Linked DNA regions of Mus musculus. The protein of the gene in region 1 interacts with the protein of each later gene in a biochemical or structural test. Links are inferred from orthologs where the notes say so. Each region holds a gene or a part of one and is shown in the gene's direction. Other genes may lie near its edges.

Evidence for each region.
Region 2: of the proteins of Rnf185 (region 1) and Cgas, one has a biochemical effect on the other in vitro, tested with the Homo sapiens proteins (2 studies listed by BioGRID). The link is inferred for Mus musculus from reciprocal best matches to the Homo sapiens genes RNF185 and CGAS.

The regions. Positions count from the first base shown.
Region 1 is NC_000077.6:3,418,485-3,422,042, reverse strand, and holds part of Rnf185 (E3 ubiquitin-protein ligase RNF185), read left to right. Parts: intron 1-2,063; coding exon 2,064-2,181; intron 2,182-3,558. UniProt on the Homo sapiens protein: E3 ubiquitin-protein ligase that regulates selective mitochondrial autophagy by mediating 'Lys-63'-linked polyubiquitination of BNIP1.
Region 2 is NC_000075.6:78,440,172-78,444,492, reverse strand, and holds the start of Cgas (cyclic GMP-AMP synthase), read left to right. Parts: upstream 1-1,255; 5' UTR 1,256-1,414; coding exon 1,415-2,029; intron 2,030-4,321. UniProt on the Homo sapiens protein: Nucleotidyltransferase that catalyzes the formation of cyclic GMP-AMP (2',3'-cGAMP) from ATP and GTP and plays a key role in innate immunity.

The DNA.
Region 1 (3,558 bases):
GTGTATGCCACCATGCCTGCCTGCCCTCCACCCCAATCTTTCCATTATTTCATCATTTGTTCTAAAGAACTCACCAGAGGTTCAAAGGATGGAGAAGAATTTGTAAGCTGTGCACAGTGATTAAGAGTATGAGTGTTCAGGGTCATCAAGTTGGTTCTATGGGTAAAGGCTCTTTTCACGCAAGCCTGGTGACCTTTGTTCAATCCCCACAACTTACAGAGGTAAAAAGAGAACTGACTCCACAAAGTTGGCCTCTAACCACATATGTTCTATGACACATGTGTAATATACATAGGAACACCTACATGCAATAATAATACATTTTTATTAAAGTTTGAATTTTCAGATTACATTGGCCAAATTTAGTCTTCCGTAAAATGTTAATGCAAGAATTAAACATAAGCTGCCACTCTTGGATGTACTTATCTGTAATTCCAGCAGTCAGGAGTCTGAGGCAGGAGCATTGCAAATTTGAGGCCAGCCTAAGCTACCTAGTGAGATCCTGTCAGAATAGGGAGAGGGTGTTTGTGTCTTATGTGCAGACCTTGCACTCAGAGGAGCTGCTTACTAACAGAGCTACAGTTCTGCTAAGTCCACTCCTGGGAAAGACAATGGGTAGGAACATATTTGGGGAGAAACCAAGGTTGGAGTGCAAACTGCCAACAGTGGCTATTTGGAAAGATTTCTGACTTTTTTTTTTAAAAGATAGATTTATTTATTTATTTATTTATTTATTTATTATATGTAAGTACATAATAGCTGTCTTCAGATGCACCAGAAGAGGGCGTCAGATCTCATTATGGGTGGTTGTGAGCCACCATGTGGTTGCTGGGATTTGAACTTCGGACCTTCGGAAGAACAGTCGGGTGCTCTTACCCACTGAGCCATCTCACCAGCCCCTGACTTATTTTCTAATGACAAATATATATTACTCTCTTTTTCCTTTTCTTTCTCCTCCTCCTGTCCCCATTTCCCAAGAGCTGGGACCACAGTACCATACCCAGTTTTATAGTAATCTGAAGAAATTAAATTGTTTTAAATATTCAGAATTTTATGTGACTTGAAAAATTTATATGTGTATGTTTTGTTTCTGTTTTTATTTGGGTTTGTGTTTGTTTTTGAGAGTCTTGTTGGAAGTCTTGTTATATAGACCAGACTGATGGAGAGCTAATTATCCAACTACCACCACTTAGCTACTAAATTAATGCAGTGCTTTGGACCAAACTCAGAGCTTCTTGAATACTCGGCAGGTGCTCAGCCAGCTCAGCCATCCACAGCCCCTGAAGCCTTTAGGAGAATACTCATTTTTTTTTTTTTTTTTTTGGTTTTTCGAGCCAGGGTTTCTCTGTGTGGCCCTGGCTCTCCTGGTACTCACTTTGTAGACCAGGCTGGCCTCGAACTCAGAAATCTGCCTGCCTCTGCCTCCCGAGTGCTGGGATTAAAAGGCGTGTGCCACCATGACCGGCGGAATACTCATATCTTGACAAGATATTTATATATTATCATTGTACAGGAGCTTAAACAGTTTGACATTCTAAGTCATAACAGGTTTTCTGTCTGTTTGCATAAATGTGCACCAGGTTCCTTAGAGAACATGTTACAAGATTTTGTTTGACTGATGTATTGATGAGTCAGAGTCCATATTGTTTTGTTATTGCAGATAGTCTGTATCCTATTATGATGTTCCTTTGCATTTGGCCATAGGACTGATGGCCAGCGTTGTGTAATAGATAATATGTAGGAAATTTTACTGGCTAATATGGAACCCTGGAAAATGATCTAACATTGTATATAAACCCTGAGAGCAGTGTTTTTCGCTTTTGGTCAGAGCTGTATCTTTTTGGACCAGTTATAGCCCCTTAGCTATACGCCAAGGGTAGAAGGTCAGAGGTGCCTCCAGAGTTCCTTTGCTTTGTGGTGTGGCTGGGAGGAAGAGCCAAGGCCTTAGTTTGTGGCAGAGGGACAAGAAGAAACATGAGGACCATATTTGTGCTGTGATGTAAGACACTGAGAGATGGTGATTAAATCTGCTTATTTTTCTTAATTGCTTTTCTTCTCCATAGGGATTTCAAGGATTTGGATTTGGAGATGGTGGCTTTCAGATGTCTTTTGGAATTGGAGCATTTCCATTTGGGATATTTGCCACAGCATTTAACATAAATGATGGACGGCCTCCTCCAGGTAAGCCCACTTTCCTTAAATCAGGAATATATCCTGCTAGAAAGCTGCCTAGAATTCAGCAATATAGAAGTTGCAGATTATTATCACTGCATGCATAGACTTTCCAAAATCCCTTAAGTTCTTTGCAGATTGCCACACTTATCCAATGATCTGAGCACTTACCATGTATTAGGTACATGAGGGATGTGTTCTGTTCTATTACAAACAGAGGGCCTCATCACCTGTACTGCAAGTAGTGATTCTAAGACATAGCCCATGACCATAAATTAAAAATTATAAACAATACTTAGCTAATAAAAGCTTAATCCTACACACACACACACACACACACTTTGACTATTTTGGATCAGGGAGGAGTGAAATGTTAGGACCTCTTGTTCCTTGGGAACTGTGTTTATATGTGTCATCTGCATTTCTCCTTTTAGCCTCTTATCTGTAAGAAGACAAACTGTATTCAGAGTACAGCACAGCAGCAAGGTCTGTGCTTAGACTCCGTTACACTCTGACACAGCCCTGCTTATAGTAATGGAGCCTTCTGGGCCTGGGTACAGTATGAGGAGCAGAAGTGAGTAGTGTAGGGCTGGTCAGGAGCTCAGTGCTCTGAATATGGTAACCCATTCAGAAGTCATCAGAGCTTTCCCTGCTTCATCCAGTTCCTTGGACATAGTGAGCAATAAACCTCTTGGTTGCGTGCCTGCATGAGTTTATCAGAGCAACCAACCGTGAGGGGATGACATGCTACCCCACAATGTACTCAGGCATTGCTTCATATCTTCGTCTGCCTAGAATGTCTCTGCAGTTCACACATTGTTTTCTCAGAGGAAGGGGACCCCAAAGACAGGATGTGATTTGTCTTAAAGGAAAGACAGATTCCTGTAGAAGCAGCAGGAACTTCCGACTAGCTTGCTGCTTTCCACCCTGGTCCAGCTTTCAGACTGGATCTCCTCCAGTTCATTCCACAGCCAGGCTGGGCTCCTGATCAGTTTTCCTTTGTCATGCTTGGTACGGTTTGCACAGCTGAGAGGTGGATTCAGTTGCCTTCCTGCCTTACAATACTCTGACTAGCTTTCCTAAAAGCAGAGCTTCTTACTTAGTCAGTTCCCCCTCTCCCTTGACATGTGATTTCTGGGCCCTGGTTCTGGGAAGAGCAGGCATACAAGATAGGTTTAGAGCCATCTGGAGCAGTGTTCAGAGAGGCAGGAGAGTAACAGTGTTCATGTACGGGCCCTTATGGTCTCAGAAGGCTTATACTCTACTTCTGATACTGCTTTTTAAAAATGAGACCCACCAGCCGGGGGTGGTGGCGTGGGCCTTTAATCCCAGCACTTGGGAAGCAGAGGCAGGCGATTTCTGAGTTCAAGGCCAGCCTGGTCTACA
Region 2 (4,321 bases), on another chromosome or scaffold:
GACTAATAATGGAGAATGCCACTCTACTGGCAAGACCTCACAGAGAGGTCTCCTGCTCAAGTGTATTTCTGCAAAGTAGGCAGCGTTTCCATTCCCAGGTGTGTCTACTTGCCATTCAAAAGCGAATGCTTGTTAGACAAGTTCCCATTTTGAAAACTCATGTACAGGCATTGACAGGAAGGAGGGAAGAGAGTTGCAGGGTCAATAGGATGGCAGCACACTGATCGGTGTCTTTTTATTCAGGCTACATGTATCTCATAATATATGGTACATACACACGCGCGCGCGTGCGCGCGCGCACACACACACACACACACACACACACACACACTCACACACACACACACACACTTTACAAAAAGTTACACAGAGCAGCAATTTTTGAGCTTTATTTTAAGGGACACACAGGATTGCATAATAAGGTGTGGAATATAGTAATGTTATTATTATAACATTCTGATGTTAGTTGAAAACTAAGTGTTGTTCTGAGCCATGTAAATCTTCAGAAGACAGGTTTTTGTTTTTGTTAGCACAGTGGAAGGCAAAATGAGTTCCGCCAAGAACAACTTTAAAAGAAGCAGCCACTGTTGACGAGACCGACTTTAGAAATCGCTTTCTGAAAGTCTGCATTAAAGGACTACGGAATCTCAGCAGCCAAATCAGGATGGCTTACACCGTGCTGCTCATGAAACTCACACAGGCACTTTGAATATGTTCTTTAAGAGTCGGTGTGCTTTTTAGAAAGATAAGTTGAAATACTAATTCCAAGCAGTTAAATCTAACTTGAAAAGGTTCAGTGAGTTTCTATTTCTCATTAACAAGAACAGTAAATTTTGATTTAAAGTTTACATAAACCGGGCGAGGTGACGCACGCCTTTAATCCCAGCACTTGGGAGGCAGAGGCAGGCGGATTTCTGAGTTCGACGCCAGCCTGGTTTACAGTGAGTCCCAGGACAGCCAGGGCTACACAGAGAAACCCTGTCTCGAAAAACAAAAAAAACAAAAAACAACAAAAAAGTTTACATAAAAAAGTTGTTTATCAACTACAAATGTACGAGAGACAGTAGTGTCCTGAAACACATCTTGGTGGTAGGCGGCAAATCTAGCCATCTGAGCTGTCAGTGGTTTCCGCGTCTGTGCGGTAAAGGAGAGGTTTCCCGGCCAGTGGCTCAGTGGGTGGTTCCCCAGCTAGTGGCTCTGCTGGTCCCCACTGGTGAAAAAGTTCGCATCTCTTGGACCGCCTCTTCCTGGCGCTGACTTCACGCGTGCTCCTGCGCCTGCTCGCGGCGGATACTGACCGGCTACGTTCCCGCCATATATTTAAGTTTCATTTCCAGCGGCCACTGAGAGTTCCCCTTTTCGCGGCCTTTCTTCGAAGTCGATTTATTCTTTCCCGGACCGAAGAGCGGCAGATATGGAAGATCCGCGTAGAAGGACGACGGCGCCACGCGCTAAGAAGCCGTCCGCGAAGCGCGCCCCGACGCAGCCCAGCAGGACCAGGGCCCACGCGGAAAGCTGCGGCCCGCAAAGGGGGGCTCGATCGCGGCGGGCGGAGCGTGACGGGGACACCACGGAGAAGCCACGTGCCCCAGGGCCCCGAGTGCATCCAGCAAGGGCCACTGAGCTCACCAAAGATGCACAGCCCTCGGCCATGGACGCGGCAGGAGCCACCGCGCGGCCTGCCGTCCGGGTGCCCCAGCAGCAGGCCATCCTGGATCCGGAGCTGCCCGCCGTACGGGAGCCCCAGCCGCCCGCGGATCCCGAGGCGCGGAAAGTCGTAAGGGGACCTAGCCACAGAAGGGGCGCGCGCTCCACCGGGCAGCCCAGAGCGCCGCGAGGGTCCAGGAAGGAACCGGACAAGCTAAAGAAGGTGCTGGACAAATTGAGATTGAAACGCAAAGATATCTCGGAGGCGGCCGAGACGGTGAATAAAGTTGTGGAACGCCTGCTGCGCAGAATGCAGAAACGGGAGTCGGAGTTCAAAGGTGTGGAGCAGCTGAACACTGGCAGCTACTATGAACATGTGAAGGTGAGCGTCAAGACCTGCTGGAGGGGCTCCGGCCCCACTCCTCACTTGCCTCCTCAGCTGTTTGGGGGTCCCACACTCTTAGGGCCCCCCTCCCTTGGAACACCCCAGTCTTTTTTTTTTTTTTTTAATTCATCCAGTTAGCTCACAGCAAGCAATATTGATAGCTAGTTAGTTTGCTTTGGAGGGATGGGACAGGTGACCTTAAAGTAGTCGCAGGGGAGTCATCTTTATTAATCCTTCCCCAACTATAGCCTCTAGATTGAATCTAGTCCATCCCTGAGACTTTGGGACCGCCTGCAATTAGGGCAGAATTGTATACAACTAATTGGGAGAGGTGGCTGGGTACTCAAGTGAGGGTCCGTTGACATTGTCGCACCCCCTATGAGCGAACGTCATCTACAAGCCTACCTCTAATGCTCTTCGGAGAGTAGGCCCGGCTGAGTTCCTGAAGATGATGGTGATAGCTATTCTCTGCTAGTGAAATGAGCCAATTCAAGCCAAATTAAAATATATTAAGGCAGGTTTATTAGAAAGCTGCTCTTGGGCAGGTTCACTGGTCCTAAGAAAAAGGCCAGGGTAGTCACTGTGGGGAGGGAGACAGAGGGAAGAGGGAAGAGAGAGAGAGAGAAAGAGTGTGCCCACGCAGGGAGAGAGAACATACAGAGAGGCAGAGTTGGGTAGAGAAGGAGGAAGAGAGAGAAGAGAGAAGAGGGGAGAAAGGGAGAGGGAGAAGGAAGGGAGGGAAGGAAGGGAGAGAGAGAGAGCGAGAGCGAGAGAGAGCGCACAAAATGCCCACATTATATAGAGAAGAGCTGCTTCTGGCGGAGGGGAAGCCCAGCCCCTTGGCTGAAAGGTTCAGGGCAGAGGCTGAAGTATGCTAGCCATGCTCTGTAACAGGTAGGGACTGAGGGACCTGGGAGAACCTGGAGGCCAGGTCGGCTTTGGTTAAATGCGCACCTGGATCTGAATCCAGACACCTCAGCCTTTTGTTGATAATAAATGAATAAGGGGCCTCGCAATTGTCTATGGCTACTTTGCTGACATTGGGGTGCCATGATCAGGGAAGGGGTTCAAAACTGGAATGCTGACCAAGTCTGAGAAGAGCAGGCTGTGTAACTTGCTGTCCAGGTTGTGGGACTGTTCTGGATTTGGGATGCTAATAACAGATAGGAGCAGAAGATAAAGTTAAGGAGGTTAGGGAGAAAAAGAAATTTTCTTGGGTGTACATTTGAAACCTTTAGGCCCATGGTCTTGGTAGTTGGGGTGGGGCTCCCAGGACCAGGGAAAGGGGACTAGATCCCCCCTCAGGAATACACAGGTAGGGGAGGGAAGCAGGTTATTGATTGGCAGTACTTATCTGGAGTCAATTTGACCTGTGAGAAGTGGATTCGAGTGGATGCCCTGAAGCTTAGAAGTATCTTTTTAAGTTTACAAAAAGAGATAAATATTAGAAGTGTTAGTTTTACCACTGTTCCATGTTAAACTCTGAACTTTGAGGTCTCACCACAATGATAGCACAGCGAGGGGAGGGAACGGGAGGGAAGGGGAAGAGATCTGAAGCATTTTCCTTCTCCCTTAGCTCACTTTCCTTAGCATTCAAGGTTTTCACGACCTCCAACCTTCATACCTTACCTTTAGCAACCTCAGAACACCTTGCTATTTCCTCGCGCACTTTCTTAGACGCTTTCCTAGCCTCAGACCTTACATAAACTGTAAACTGTTTTTCTGTTCAAAATCACCATGAGACACTGGCGGGAACACTCACTGTAAAGTGAGTTCCTTTAGTAAGAAATAGTAAAAAGTTACTTCTCTCATTGGTCTTCAAAGTCTTCAGAGACCTGAGAAGGATAAAATTTACCTAAGTAAGCAGGAACAATAATCCAAAAATGGCCTATATATCAACTAAAACGACCGAGGCGAGTCTAAAGTCTACTACCTAAACAATTGTCCCAGGCTCTGTGGCCTCCATGGCACCTTGTGCAGAGGCAGTCTTTGGCCATTTGGTCCAGACTATGAGAGGCTTTTCCTGTGGAGGAGGAACATGGGAGAGACAGACCTCACCTTGTCTTAGGCAGCATGGACAATTAACTCTCTGGTGTCCTGTTTGTCCATGGTTCAGGCTGGCCCTAGCCTGGGCAAGGCAATGTGGCAGTCTTTCTTGGTGATTAGTGTAGTACAAGCTAGGTGGAGTCCTTTACCGATATGCCAGGATCTTCTTGGCGACCTTGAGGTGGTCACTGCCAGGATTTAGGAGTTTCTGTTTGTCATGGTAAGTTTAAGCCTCTTAAATGC